Caenorhabditis elegans: one gene and its partner. The protein of the gene in region 2 interacts with the protein of the main gene of each other region in a pairwise test. Each region holds a gene or a part of one and is shown on either strand. Other genes may lie near its edges. The genes, in order: lin-36 and iars-1.

Evidence for each region.
Region 1: the proteins of iars-1 (region 2) and lin-36 interact in a two-hybrid assay, tested with the Caenorhabditis elegans proteins (3 studies listed by BioGRID).

The regions. Positions count from the first base shown.
Region 1 is NC_003281.10:8,015,999-8,023,230, forward strand, and holds lin-36 (Protein lin-36), read right to left. Parts: upstream 4,876-7,232; 5' UTR 4,873-4,875; coding exon 4,774-4,872; intron 4,718-4,773; coding exon 4,619-4,717; intron 4,544-4,618; coding exon 3,960-4,543; intron 3,859-3,959; coding exon 3,738-3,858; intron 3,663-3,737; coding exon 3,124-3,662; intron 3,023-3,123; coding exon 2,614-3,022; intron 2,491-2,613; coding exon 2,086-2,490; intron 2,020-2,085; coding exon 1,562-2,019; intron 1,514-1,561; coding exon 1,447-1,513; intron 1,232-1,446; coding exon 1,124-1,231; 3' UTR 650-1,123; downstream 1-649. Other genes in the region: F44B9.5 (Lipid droplet-regulating VLDL assembly factor AUP1 homolog), read right to left, coding at 201-348, 416-539; F44B9.2 (uncharacterized protein), read left to right, coding at 6,465-6,945, 7,121-7,232. UniProt on the Caenorhabditis elegans protein: Required to negatively regulate vulval development. Antagonizes Ras-mediated vulval induction. Acts cell autonomously.
Region 2 is NC_003282.8:10,366,606-10,374,010, reverse strand, and holds iars-1 (Isoleucine--tRNA ligase, cytoplasmic), read right to left. Parts: upstream 5,405-7,405; 5' UTR 5,397-5,404; coding exon 5,293-5,396; intron 5,232-5,292; coding exon 4,343-5,231; intron 4,293-4,342; coding exon 3,778-4,292; intron 3,709-3,777; coding exon 3,459-3,708; intron 3,412-3,458; coding exon 3,151-3,411; intron 3,098-3,150; coding exon 2,459-3,097; intron 2,409-2,458; coding exon 1,890-2,408; intron 1,837-1,889; coding exon 1,711-1,836; intron 1,655-1,710; coding exon 1,532-1,654; 3' UTR 1,374-1,531; exon of another isoform or gene 1,346-1,373; coding exon of another isoform or gene 956-1,345; intron 916-955; downstream 1-915. Other genes in the region: mpz-5 (PDZ domain-containing protein), read left to right, coding at 226-249, 294-404, 484-612, 657-782, 829-915, 956-1,345; pges-2 (Prostaglandin E synthase 2), read left to right, coding at 6,221-6,457, 6,506-6,604, 6,652-6,804, 6,854-7,140, 7,184-7,298, 7,347-7,405.

The DNA of each region.
Region 1 (7,232 bases), on a different chromosome or scaffold from region 2:
AAGCTACCGTACTCTTTAAAGGCGCACATGTTTTTGTATTTAACAAAAAAATTGTCATTTCGAGACCAGGTACCTCACTTTTGGGACAGAAGTCGCAAAAAAATTTGCGCCTGGGCAATACGGCAAGCTTCCAATTTTTCAGTAACTTGTTTCTATTTTTTTGGAGATATCAAATATTTTTCAAAAAAAAAATCACAAACCTGTGACCAGATTTTTCAACGACAATTCCGAGAATTGAGCACATAATTCGAAGAGTGTGCATTCTCAAAGCAGCAGATTTTCTGAGTAGACATGCAACAATAAATGTGTGGAAACCGAGGAAAACACGAATTAAAAGAATAATTAAACCTGAAATTTTGATTTTTTAAAACTTTTACTTTTTGGAATGTGTCAAAAAATTTGAAAAAAATCTCACCAACTGGAGCATAAATAATCGAAAATATTTTAGCAATCGTATCTTCATTTCGTTTTTGATGGAATAAATCTTCGATACGAAGATCTTCTGTATTTCCAGAAGACGATGCTTCTGGTGATGCCATTCTAAATTTTAGGATTTTTTTAAATTTTTCATGGTTTTTTCAAAATATAATGTTATGGATAATCAGGTAGCCTATAGAAAAAATAATCTGAAAACTCTTTTCAAAAACCTACCAAGCAAAATCATTTATTTATTGACTTTTAGTCATATTTGGCACACAAACGCACATATCTTTCAAACTTGAATGTAATTGAAAACTAGGGAAACGTTTAAATAGACTTTGGCTCATTTTTTGTGAATAATTCAGATTAATTTATGATAGAAAAAGTGTGGTTTTTGGGGAGGGGGCGGGGGCTTATGGAAAGTAAAACAAACTATTAATTTTGGAAAGTAAATTATAGGGGGGAGGGGGGGTAAAAAATGGGAAAAAAGTAAATGTGAAAATCCTAAAAATCTAGACGAAAATCTATCCTAGTCGGAGTTTTTATCAGATTTCAAGAATTTCGAATGAAAGTAAAATGGGATAACTTCTGTGGATATAAAACAGAGATAGTTCACATGAAAGAAATGTGGGGCGATCCTCGAAAGGACAATTGACTTTTGAATCTTGAATTTTGAGGCACTTTCTTTGATAATTAAAAATAATTATTGTTGAGAATCCGATGATCCTTGTCCTGGAAATTGTTCTTGCTGCTGTTGTTGTTGTTGTTGTTGTTGTTGAAGTTCACGCCATTTTGGATCTTTTTTGGTGAGCTGAAAATCATAAGAATGAAACAAACTGATTGATAACGCCAAATAGCGGAGAAAACATGTTTTTAAAATAAATTGTGTTGTGATCAGTGATTTTTGATGTTTCAATCGGAATTTTTTCAAAGCAAATGGTTTCAAATTGAGAACAACATAAATAAAATCTTTTAAAAAACGAAAATTGTTACTAAAATTCAGAATTGAAACTAATAAAAACATACCACTTGTGCTCCATCGTTAGAGTAGAAAATTTGATAATCTTCAGTCCTTTCGCCAAACAGACGAGCTCTGCAAAAAATTAAACGATTTATCAAAGTAGACCTCCCATGGGCTCACCTGGCTCTCGCAGCTTCAATTTGCCGGATGCAATGACGGGAAAGTCTCATGTCAGCGCGCATTTTCGTCACGGTGCGACATTTGATAGCGTCTTCCATTGCTCTGTAGTAATGAGCATCTTTCATCATTTCTTTTGAGATTTCTTCCATATCTTGATCTTTAACTGTTCCACTTGAACCATCCATCTCAAGAGCCTCTGCCAGCGTAAGCATCGGTTGCCTCTCGGAAGATGTTGAAGAAGTGGCAACATCTTCAGACGATGAGTTTCCCATAGAATCAATGACTTCTTCGACCATTTCAACTTCCATATCCGTTGCTGGAATCAGATACTCATCAGAAACAACCACCGGAGAAGATGCTGAGAAGTTTGGCGATGACTCGTGATGGGAGAGTGTTGGTCGTGGAGTTGATGTTTTTTTTCGTGGTGAAAGGATCAGTGGTCTTCGGGAGAGCACACTCTGAAGCAATAAATTAGAAAAAATATCAAAGTCTCCTAATAAATAATTCTAATATATTAAACTTACCGGTCTCTTAGCAGGCCCTTTTTCTTGTGCAACAGCTCCCATAACTCTTTGAGAAAAGATCCCGCCAGGAGAGGATGAAGTTGGTGGTCTTGATATGACTCCAGAAGATAATGAACGTCCTCCACCAAGTGATGCAGTAGCTGTGAACGATTCTAATGGAATCTGATATTTAGCCATCGAAGGACGAACTCCAGCAACAAAAGATCTCGCGAGCATTGATTTTAGAGGGCGTTCTTCCGGCTCTTTTTCTACTGGTGCCGGTTTTGCGACAGGAGTTGCTGGTTTTTCAACTTTTTGAACAGCACTCTCCTTAGTTTTCGATCGTGTATTTCTGGCGATAAATTTTTGACTTGTTGTCGGTTCTGGTGTCTGCTCCGAAGATGTCACTTTGTCTTCTGGCTCCGTCTGAATAAAAAACATTATCCTAGTAATTCGAATTTCAACATGCTACAAAGTAAAAGAGGAATTTCAAAAGTTACAAATTAAGTTCTAATCTATTATTTAATAAATTCAGTAAATAAAACTCACCGAAGAAGTAGCAGCGATCCCTTTGGCCAAATTATAAGCCAAGGCCTTTCTCGGCTTCTTCGTTGCTGCTTCTTGTTTCTTGAATTGTTTGGCATTGATCAATCGCTTAACTTGCTGAGATCTTTTCTGAACCATTTTGGCAAATTGTTCATCTCGTTCCTTCAAACGAAGACGTTCACGTGGATCATTTGGTGAAACTGTTGGTTCTCTCTCTACACTTTCAGGAGTTGGATCGTGTTCTTCTTCGTGTGAAATTTTCCGTTTCTTAGCTGGAGTTGATGGAGCTGTAGCAGGAACTTCGTGTTTTGCCACCTTCTTGATTGGTGAATTTGTAGCGGAAGTTGCGAGACGTGTTGCTTTACGTCGTTCACCAGATCCCATTGGAGCTTGTGGAGACTGATGGGAAGTTCTAAAAAATTTAATTGCTTCTTTGATTTCCATTTAGTAAGATTTTTTAAATTTCGTTACGCAGGATGTTCTCTAACTCGAACATTTTTTGACAAAACTTACAGTTCAGAAACATCGTCTGACTCTTCTTCTGCATGTTTTTTCTGACTGCTCTCTTGCTCCTTCGTTCCTTGAGCCGATTCTTCTGCTTTTGTATTAATCTCTGCTTCTCTTCTCAATTGCAGAAACACTTGTCGCTGCATTACGTTCAGATCATTCACACTTGTACCACCTTCTTTTCCAACAAACGATAATGTCCTCACTGCCTTCTTTCTCTTCTCTTCATCGTGAACCATTTTCGTACGCTCTTCTGGATTTTGCACGTAGGCTTTTTTCGTTGGTGAAGGTGTGAGTACGATTTCATTTGCTGGTGGTTCACAGCCGTGATATGCCACATAAACGTTGCGACGAGTCCAGTTATCCCAGCTTTCCGCTGGATCCAACTCAGTAGCGCGGCAGTTCATTTTAGCGAATTCATATATTCTACGAAGATGACAATGATGAATGGGGCCAGCATTCAAGTGACGACGATATCCAGATATTGTCTTGTAACCATATGTGCATTTTCTACAGAATGGGCACATGAAGCCAGCTTCTGGGACCTGTGAAAAATATTAATTTTTGTTATAAGAATTATGTGATAAAATAAGAGTATTAACTAAAAAGCTTGAACTTACATCCAAAACATTATCTTTTTTCTTGAGCATTTCCTCCGTGTGATTGAGAAGATGTGTCTGAAGCTCGACAACACTGCACGAGTGGAACTCACATACGGTACAGACCCATGGCACTCTGGAACTTTTATAAAATCGTGAAAGAGGATGTTTTAGCCAAAAATCGAGCTAACATATTCATTCACAAGCTTTTTCGTTTCGAGCAGAACCAGCTTTTCTTCTTACCTTTTTTTACTCGGTGTCGTCTTAACGTCTGGTGAAATAGCAACAGGAACTCCAAAAGCTTCGATGGCAGATTTGTTGAAATTGTGATTCCTGAAGCACTCCTCGGCGAAGTGCTCAGTACAAATTGGACCGGCAGCAATTGAAAACGATACAGGACCCATTTTACTGCGAAGAATATCTTTGTATTTGAATCCAAGCAAATTTGCCCAAATTCTGCGCCTATCCAAGTCTGCTGGGAAGTTTAGATGCATCTCTCCCGATTTCATTACTCGATTACAAACTGTACATGGCTTATGAGTCAAATTGGAGTATGGAGAAAACTTCTTGAAATGATCAACAACATATATTCTCAGTCTCCCATTTGACATCCGGTACACTTCTAAATGCTCTCCATCTGGCGGAGTTCGTGTCATTCGGCTTAAAGTCTCCGGAATAACTTGGCACGGAAAACTGGAGTAGACACTTTCGCCTTTGCCGTGGATAATTTCTTCTCTTGGTTGTGACGACGAAGCTTGTTTAGTTGGAGTGACTTGGCTTTCATCAAGAACTTCACCACTTGATGTGACAGTTGGCATTACGGGAATCTGAAAATAAAATGATGTATTCTATTCCGGCCAATGGGCACATGCATTAATACGAGAATGAAAATGTAAACGTACATCGTGTTCGTCCTCATCTTCTCCTATTACGTCAACATCACCCTCAGTTTCCTGCAATGCGTCTACAGTTGAGGATTCTTCACCAGAATGCTGTGAATCCTAAAAATGCATTGATATTCATAAGCGGCGAGAATGTTTCTCAATTATCACCATACCTGTTCAACTGAGTGCACCGTCACGTGTGAGTCTTCTGGTTCTTCAATATCATTATAATCCCTTTTACTGGGTCTAGTACTCAGCAATTCTTCCGACATTTCCTGCAATCAAATATTTTTGGAAAAGCCTTTCTTTTGCAAATTCTACACATTTTGAGCACAAAAACAGAAAATACAGTGAATTTAATTGTTTAAAACGCTCAAGAGATACAAATAATAACGAAAAACATTGATAATAAGTGAAAAATGAGTCGAAAGTGTAAAAATCGATAATTGTCCGGCCAATTTTTGTACAATTCTGGCTCCCACTCATCTGATGTACGCAAACACCGCCACGCGCGGTTGCGTACTTTTTCTATGACGTCTCTCCGTTTGCTACGCTCTCTCGCCGAACAAGCGACTTGGAACTGGAGGGACGTTGAATTGATGATATCAATATGGAGACAGGTCATTTGTATAAATGATTGACACCAATTTATCCAAAATACCACGGAGATAACACCAGGAGTTTGAGAAGTACATATTCGTTAACAATAAGTGATTTAAAGCAGGGGAATTAATTAATTACAACGGGAACATCATAAGCTTGGAACATTTCGTTGCCAAATTAAATCGAACGGAAGACAGTTTTCTCTAGGTTCAGGTATAGTAGAAGCTTGAGCAAACATATGCGTATAGTAAGTGATGTTTACTCAGGTACTCATATTCTATTAGATACCGTACCCCGAAAACTAGAAATAGGATTTCTAGTTTTCGGGGTACGGTATCTAATAGAATGTCTTCCAGAAACGATTATAACAGACACGTAATCTGGGTGGAATGCTGAAAAATAATTCTGATTTTTATTTAGAAAAATTATTTCAGAAGATGCATCTTCCTCTTAAGATGCTCTCAATTTTTCTTCCGTACACAATTAAAAATCATAATCTGGTGACAGCTCATACAGAAGCGCAATTCTTGCCCTGGCTTGTGAAGTGATTACATTTTTCGAAAATTATAATGTATTATTCGTCTGAATACAATACTTAGCACGAGCAAAAGATTTCAAAGATGACAAGTCATTAGACATCTCTTCATAAAAGCGATTACGGTATAACTTCTTATTGGGAGTCGACTTAAACCCCCAAAGACAAGAAACACATTAAAAAACAAATAGTGAAAAATTCTTAAACTCAATAACAAACAATCAGACTACCGTACTCACACAAATGAAAGTTTTCTGCCATCTGTACTTTTAATATCCGGCCTCTCTAGGGAAGCATTTGTAAAAAAATTGTTTCATGGTTTAATCAAGTTACAATAAATTGTAGCTCGCGTAAATGTTCATGCATGAATCTTAAATTTCCAGGTGTCAATTTTCCAAAAACCTATCTTCACTTCTCAAGTCTAAAATCTCTCGGATCCCTTCCTTCTCCTCCCCCGATTTCACTGATCAAGTCCGTGTGCAACTCTGCGTATCTTCATCTTACACACTATTCAGTGTTTAATGCTCACTCAGGCGGGCTCAAAACAGTGTAAAAATGGCCTCTAAACCCTCTTCCGTCGTTCTGCCAATTTCTCTATTGCCAACAAAACAACCAACATGCCATCCATATCACTACTACTACAAGAGTTTTTTTTGAATAAAACCAATCTCGCATACTTTTTCTACTTTATGAAGCATCAAAACTCAGTACAATTTCTATTTTTAGATGGCTGACGATGAAGATGATATAGTTTGGATTCGTGAAGATACAGCTCAATCATCAGTTCCAACATCTCCAACAACTCCAGCAACTATCATTGAAGCTGCACCTGTATTGAGTGATGCATTTGATAAACCAATTCTAAAATCAGTTGAAACTATTTCTGTATCAAATGGACCACCTGAAGTCACAATCAGTGCTCCACCACCAACTCCTCCAGCTGCTCCATTAGCCCCACAGATAACTCCAATGGTGCTTTCAACAGTTCCAGATGCAGCTCCTGCTCAGGATATTCCAGCTTTAATTTTAGCTGCACTTGCACCAGAACCAGTTCCAGAACCCGAACCAGAAGTTGAGGCTAAGCAGAATGTAATAGTGGAAAAAGAAAATGAGATTAAAGATCAACAACAAAATGATCAACTCTCCGCAAAGTTGGATCCAAAAACTCCAAATTCAGTTGATGATAACAGCATGAGTTTTGATATCAGTAAGTGTTATAAAGAAATTACTCTTTATTAATATTATTTCTTCGGAGATCAGTCATGCGAAAGCTGTCCGTAATGAAAACCGTTTACATGGTTACAAAATTGGCTTCTCGTTAATTCGATTCATTAATTTATTTTTCCCATCTTCCAAACAGAATTCTAATTTTCAATTTTCAGGTGAATGTGAGCGAAAATTCAACACCGCCATCCGAGAGGCAAATGATATTCTAGAGGATTTCGATAAAAAATCAAAACAAGTTGCTGAAAATACTAAATTCGTTGCAAAGGA
Region 2 (7,405 bases):
TTTGTGAATAAAAAAAAGTTCTGTACAGAATTCTGTTTAAATGTTTGTAAAAAACAGAAATCGACAATTCGTGATAAAGAAGAATAGTTTTAAAAATTGTGTTATTTTAATATTAAATTTAATGTCACGTTTCCAATTATTTGGATTTAAGAAAACGTTTTATAAAACCTGAAAATCAAAAAAAAATCATTTCCCAATTGAGTTTTCATACAAACCGATCGAATTATGAAGAAAAATGAAAGCGGCAGCGTAAGACAACTGAAACGATTCAAAATAAACATAAATGAATTAAGTTGGCTCTTGATAAAGATTTCAACATTGACAAGCTTTTGCCAAAGGAATTGATCGACCATTTCATGATTCGAAAGCCAATAGGAGTTCGTGTACACAAGCAGGATTGTCGGGTAATTGTCAAATAGTATTTATTCAAATTCTTGAGCTCTTGATCTTGATTTTGGGACACCATACATAATTCATATTCAGATCACACATGTCCTTCCTGAATCACATCTTATTGGAAAAGCATTTCTAGGTGATTGTATCACTGCAATCGATGAAAAAGTTATCCACACTAGTGACGAGTTGCACCAAAAGTTGAAAGAGAAAACTGAGGTGTTAATATTTCTGAATCGAGTGTTTGCAAACGAAAATTTCAGAATATTCATCTACAACTGAAACGTAACATGTTTTCCTGGTGTTTTCATATTCGAACAACTGTTGAGAAAATCCAAATTGACAGAGATTTAGAGAGAATCACTCCAAATCCTGTTAACCATTACTTTGTGAGACAGCTTTTTAAAAATTAAAAAAAAAACTTTCTTATTTTAGGTTCTCATAAAAGTTCGTCCAACTCCTGAAATGCAATTCATTGACTTGGGATTATTTGTCAAATATAACAATAGAGATCGTTTGGAGGTAATTTAAACTTACAGTAACCACCGCATTTCATTTTCAGGTTGATTATGTTACTCCAAACAGCTTAGCATCCATCCATCTGAAATCTGGAGATGTCATTCGGGAGTGTAATTCTCAGGCAATTTGCTCGAAGAGCATGCTCCGTTATTGTATTGCGAGCAGCATCGCTTCTTCTGGACACTTTACGCTTCTTATTGAAGCACCAATTCGAGATATTCTCAGAGATCACATTGATTTGGCAGATGATGTTGTGGCAATTGCTGATAAGGCGGTAGAGGAGTTCAGAAAATTGGGGAAAGGATATCTACCACAACAACCGAAGAAAGGAGATAAGAAGAAAAACATCAAATTGAAAGAGGGACGTACAGAACATCAGATCGTTAGTGACATTGATCCTGCTAAACTGAGAGCGTGTAAAAATGCTAGCTGAATTTCTCTGATAATAAAGTTTCTACATTAAAATCCTTAAACATTCATAATTAAATATTATACGTTAACAGCAAACAAAATAGTGTAAGAAACAAATATGAGAAAAACTGCGGTTCAAATGGGTTCAAATAAAGCCAGGAACTAAAATGCGAACCGGATATGGATAATTTAAAGATGTAATAGCAATTTATCGTACGAGTTGAAGAGTCTGACCAACAAGAGACGTCACGTCAACTGTTGGATGGACCGCCGATCCATCGACATTCTTCAAGGCAATCTTACCGTTCCAGAGATCAAGAGCAGAGCGAACCTGAAACAAAAACAGATTTAACATTTTAAATTTCTAGGAAAACCCGATAAACATACGTGATATAGAAGATCAGCATATCCCTTCAGGTGTTCTTTTTCTGTTTTCACATGAACTCGAACTTTCTTTGATCCATCAACAACAGTGATCCCATCGAAACTGTCACCTTCGGCGAACAACCAAAGCTGAAAATAATTGTTCAGGAATATTAGAGAACATCAACAAAAACGGAATTTACCTCAACTTCTGAATCCTTAATTGCACTCTTGCTGGTGGCAGTTGGAGCCTTTGCAGCGGCTGGTGGTGATCCCAACTTGATAGGTGTTCCAGTAGCGGATACAATGTCATTCAATTTGGCAGCAACAACCTTTGCGAGTTGAGAATCAGCTGGACTAACAACAATATGAACATGAGCAGTATCAGTAGATACAAGTTTAGCCTGTTTGCGAAGACGTTGAACACGATTTGTCACTTCTCTGCAGAGTCCTTCTTCAATAAGAGACTCATCTTCAGTTGTATCAATCATTACAATGGTCTTTGCATCCGAGTGAGTTTTGTATCCATGTCCTTGATCACTTCCAGCCGCGTAGCTAACAGCAACTTCTTCCGAGGAGAGCTCATGCCCAAGCACAGTCAATTTTCCTTCAAGAAGGAATTTCTCCAACTCAGATTCAGTGATTTGGTTCTTCAAGTAGTCAGCAACCTTCTTTTGTTCTCCCTTGAGACGAGCACCCAGAATTTTGAAGTTTGGCTCTGCCTGTAATTTTAAGTATTATATTTTGAACAAACTTTTTGAAATTTTAATACCTTTAGGGTGATTCCGTATTTCTGTTTATCTTGTGAAACGGTCAATTTTCTGACGTTCAACTCAAGAAGAATATATGATTCCAAACTTTTTACGTCTTCCAAAAACTGACTGTCTCTGTTAATAACAATCATTTCCTTCAATGGATATTTCACAGCAAGTCCTTCACGATCGCGAACAAGACGAACCAAGTCGATAACATTTCTCATAACTTCAACTCGTCTTTCCACAGTCTCGTCGATTAGACTCTCATCCGGTTTTGGGAGCATCAGGAAGTGAACTGATTCCTCAGTCGAACCAATGACTTTCTTCAAATTTAGCCAGATATACTCGCAGAAGAATGGTGTGAAAGGAGCCATCAATCTAACAATCAAAATGAGAACTCGTCCGAGGGCTGCCAAAGCGTGATGTTGCTCATGAAGTCCGTTGTCTCCCTTGACTCTCTTTCTATTTAATCTGATGTAGATATTTGTAAGAGTGTCAAAGAATTTTGTAAGCGGTCCAACAACAGCATAAAGCCGATAACTATCCATTTCTTTCCGAACAAACGCAACAAGACTGTTTGTAAAGGATTCAATCCACCGATCCATGACATTTTCACTGGCAACATGAACGTTCATGTCAAACACATTTCCAGTTTCCTAAAAACGATAATATTTCAATCTCATAATTGTTTCAACATGAATAAACTTACATGTTCATATGCTTGTACGTTTTGTACAAAGAATCTGTAGGCATTAAACCATGGAAGGAACACATCCTTGAGAAGATCTCTTACGCCTTCTTCTCTGAATCTCAAATTTTCTCCTCTAACCACAGGAGAGTTGATGAGATAAAGACGCAAAGCATCGGCTCCGTACTTGTTAACAATGAGCATTGGATCGGGATAGTTCTTCTTACTCTTTGACATTTTTGCTCCATCCGACGCCAATACGAGTCCGTTACAGATCAGGTTCTGGAAAACATTTTTGATTTAAATTAAAATATTGAAATTGTACGAACCTTGAATGGTGGCTTGTTGAACAAAGCAGTTGACAGAACTAGAAGTGTGTAAAACCACCCACGGGTTTGGTCAATTCCTTCAGCGATGAAATCAGCTGGGAAATTGTCTTCGAAGATTTTGCGGTTCTCAAATGGATAATGATTCTGGGCATATGGCATGGATCCTGATTCAAACCAACAATCAAAAACTTCGGAAACCCTCTTGAGAACTCCCCGTCCTGAACGAGATGGGATCGTAACATCATCAACGCTGGAAATTTGCACTGTTAATTTATAAAGTCATCGTATTTTATGAATAGTAACATGTTTTTTAACAAACCTTTCTCTATGAAGATCAGTGATTTTTTGTCCTGAAAGCTCTTCTAATTCAGCAATACTTCCAACACATACAACTTCCTCTCCATCTTCGCTCACCCACAAATTGATTGGAGTTCCCCAGAACCGATTTCTCGATACAGCCCAATCGCGAGCATCTCTAAGCCAGTTAGCAAATCTCTTTTCCTTGACAAAAGCGGGAACCCAGTATGTCTCATCATTGTTAGCCAGAAGCCTTGGAATCAGGGTTTCGACGTTGATGAACCAGGATGGAACAGCCTTATAGAGAAGTGGAGTGTCAGACCGCCAACAGAATGGATAGGAGTGCTTCACTTCCGCTTGTCTGACAAGATTTCCCATTTCCTTGAGTCTCTTGATAATCAACTTATCAGCATCTTTCACGTAGACTCCTTGATAATCTGGAACTTCTGATGTGTATTTTCCACTTTCATCAACTGGACAGATCATTTTTTGGTCTTTAGCGATAACTCCATTCGCCACACAAACTTGGAAATCGATCTGGAAAGTATTTTTTATATAAAAAAAGAAAAGAAAAAAAGGAATCTTACCTCTCCGAAATATGGTGCTTGATGAACAACTCCGGTACCAGAGTCAGAGGTGACAAAAGTGTCATTCAATACCCGGAATGCGTTTCTTTCTTCGCGCATATAGGCAAAGTATGGGAACAATGGTTCATACCTGAGATCTTTGAGCTGACTACCAGCAAGTTTCTCAATAACTTCCAAATTATCATTTTTCAACTCTCCGAGACGTTCTTCCAGAACAACGTATTCGATTCCAGTCGTTTTATCTTTAGTGACCACATACAGCATGTCTGGATGAACAACTAGAGCTAGATTGGATGGAAGTGTCCATGGAGTTGTTGTCCATGCAACTAGCTGCCTATTCGGACAATCGAGTAATTTGAATCCGACGAATACTGCTGGATCTACTACATCTTTGTAATTCTGACCAGCTTCAAAGTTGGAGAGTGGAGTAGAACAAGCAGTAGAGAAAGGCATAACTTTTACACCTTTGTAGACAAGGCCCTTCTTATGCAACTCGCTGAAAGCCCACCATACAGACTCCATGAACCACGGGTAGAGAGTCTTGTAATCATGCTTGAAGTCTACCCAGCGACCAAGACGTCCCATTGTTTTCTCCCATTCGCCAGAATATCTCATAACGATCTTTCGGCATTCATTGTTGTAATTAGCGATTCCCATTTTCATGACATCTTGTGGACCACTGATTCCAAGCGTCTTATCGATTTCGTATTCGACTGGAAGACCATGAGTATCCCAACCAAACCGTCTTTCTACATAGTGACCGTTTTGATGAGCCCAGCGACCAACAACGTCTTTGATGGTGCTGGTAAGCATATGACCATAATGAGGAAGGCCAGTAGCGAAAGGTGGTCCATCATAAAAAGTGAAATGTGGACGATCTTTTGACAGCCTGAAGATAACGTTTTTTTTTTCAATGTGAACAATTCCAGAATATTTAAAAAAAAACTAACTCAACAGAACGTTGGAAAGTATTCTCATCTTGCCATTTTTGAGCGACTTTATCTTCTTCTCTGGCAAAATTGATGTTGTCGGGAACGGTCGAAAGGCCGCTCATTTTTTACCCTGTAAATTTTAAATATGCGAAAGTTAGACACTAGGCGACTAACATAAATAACAACGCAATCACATGAAATCTGATGCAACATTCTTTATTGCGTATTGCGAAATTTTGATGGAAGTAGTAATTTTTTAAATATTCGTCATACTAAAATATGATATATTTATTTGAATAATTGGTGGTGTTAACGGAAACGTTATCAAGGACAATTTAAGGCATAGTTTCGTATCTAGAAGGCACATCTTCGAGTAATTTTACCAAGTTTTCATCTAGTTAGTAAGAAAACATTAAATTGACACCATCAGTAGCGTGAGATAAACTATTCCAGTGTAGAAAGAGATGTATACAAATGAAATACTACCAAAAACATGGGAACCTCTTCTAAAGCAGTCAGATAAGTACTTGAGTTAAATGAAATGTTATTTAGTTGTTATTTTCAACAAACTTAAATGACAAAAAACATCGGAATTGCATGAAAAACCGATCAAAATAAGAAGAAAACTGGAAAATGGGAACTCCAAATAAAACAATTTTTTAAAGGCGCATGCATTTATTCAGCAGGGTCTCGCCACGATTTCCCGTCTTTTTAATTCGCCGAAAATTTTTTTTTATGAATTACAGTCCGTTTTCAGACAAATAAAGTGAAAGTTAATATGAAGCTGATTTAAATTTGATATTCCCCGTAGTGGAAAACGGTTTCTCGCGAGAAAAAGCGCATTTCTTGCGTTTTTTCAGTGAAATTTGTATGAATGTAACCGATCCGTTGTGTTTTTCCGCCCGTTTTCTTTTAATGAACTGAAAATTCATTTTTTAGTTTTCAGATGCGTTTTTTTGGTGTACGGACAGTCCAGATTGCTTCTTTGGCTGGATTCTCGTGGGGAGGATCAAAGCTGGACGATATCCAAACAGCAAAACTCAGAACATGCCCAATTCAAGTTCAGCAACCCGAGAAAGTGCAGAATGATGTCCTCCTCAGTCGAAAAGTTATTAATCACCTGGATAAGTCAAACTTGAAGCTCCGATTGTATCAATACGAGACTTGCCCGTTCTGTTGCAAGGTGCGTTACTCTTGTGTGAAGTATGAAAACTATTAATCAAAAATACAGGTTCGAGCCTTCTTAGATTATCACGGATTCTCCTATGAGGTTGTAGAAGTAAATCCAGTCACTAGATCACAGATCAAGTTTAGCACAACTTATAAAAAAGTAAGTTTTCATTCACATTTCCGGTTGTTTTATCTATTTTCTTTCAGGTTCCAATTCTCAGGAGTGGCGAGACAACTATGACCGAGTCTACTTTGATTATTTCCACATTGGCAACATATCTTCAAAGACCCGATCAGTCACTCGACCAGATAATACAAATGTATCCAGCAGTTGATTCAACAAACGAGAAAGGAAAGCCAGTGGGTTTTTGAATTACTCTGCAATTTTAAAACATCCTTGCTGATTCAGGTTCTCAACTACCCTAACAAATTCTTCGTTATGAAGGGAAAAGTAGACGGGGACGCAAATATGGCTTCTGCCAGAGAAGAGCGGGAATGGAGAGAATGGGTGGACAATTGGTTCATCCATCTTATTTCTCCTAATGTATATCGTAATTGGAATGAGTCTGTCGAGACATTCCGTTGGTTCGAACAAGTTGGCGACTGGCATCGTACTTTTCCAGCCTGGGAGAGAGTTCTAGCGGTATACGTGGGTGCAGCAGCAATGTTTTTACTTTCAAAAACATTGAAGAAAAAGTAAGTTAGTTAGAAGTTTATATCATGATTTCTGATATTAAAGGCACAACATCAATGATGAACGAGAAGAATTGAGAAAGGCTTGTCGTGACTGGATGGCAGCAATTGGACCAAATAGACAGTTTTTAGGAGGAGATGAACCGAATCTAGCTGATCTGGTTGGTTTGATTTTTTGGAGAAGGATTTACAATCTGATATATTTTCAGTCATTATATGGAGCTATGAATTCTTTCTATGGATGCTCAGCGTTCAAAGAAGTTATTTT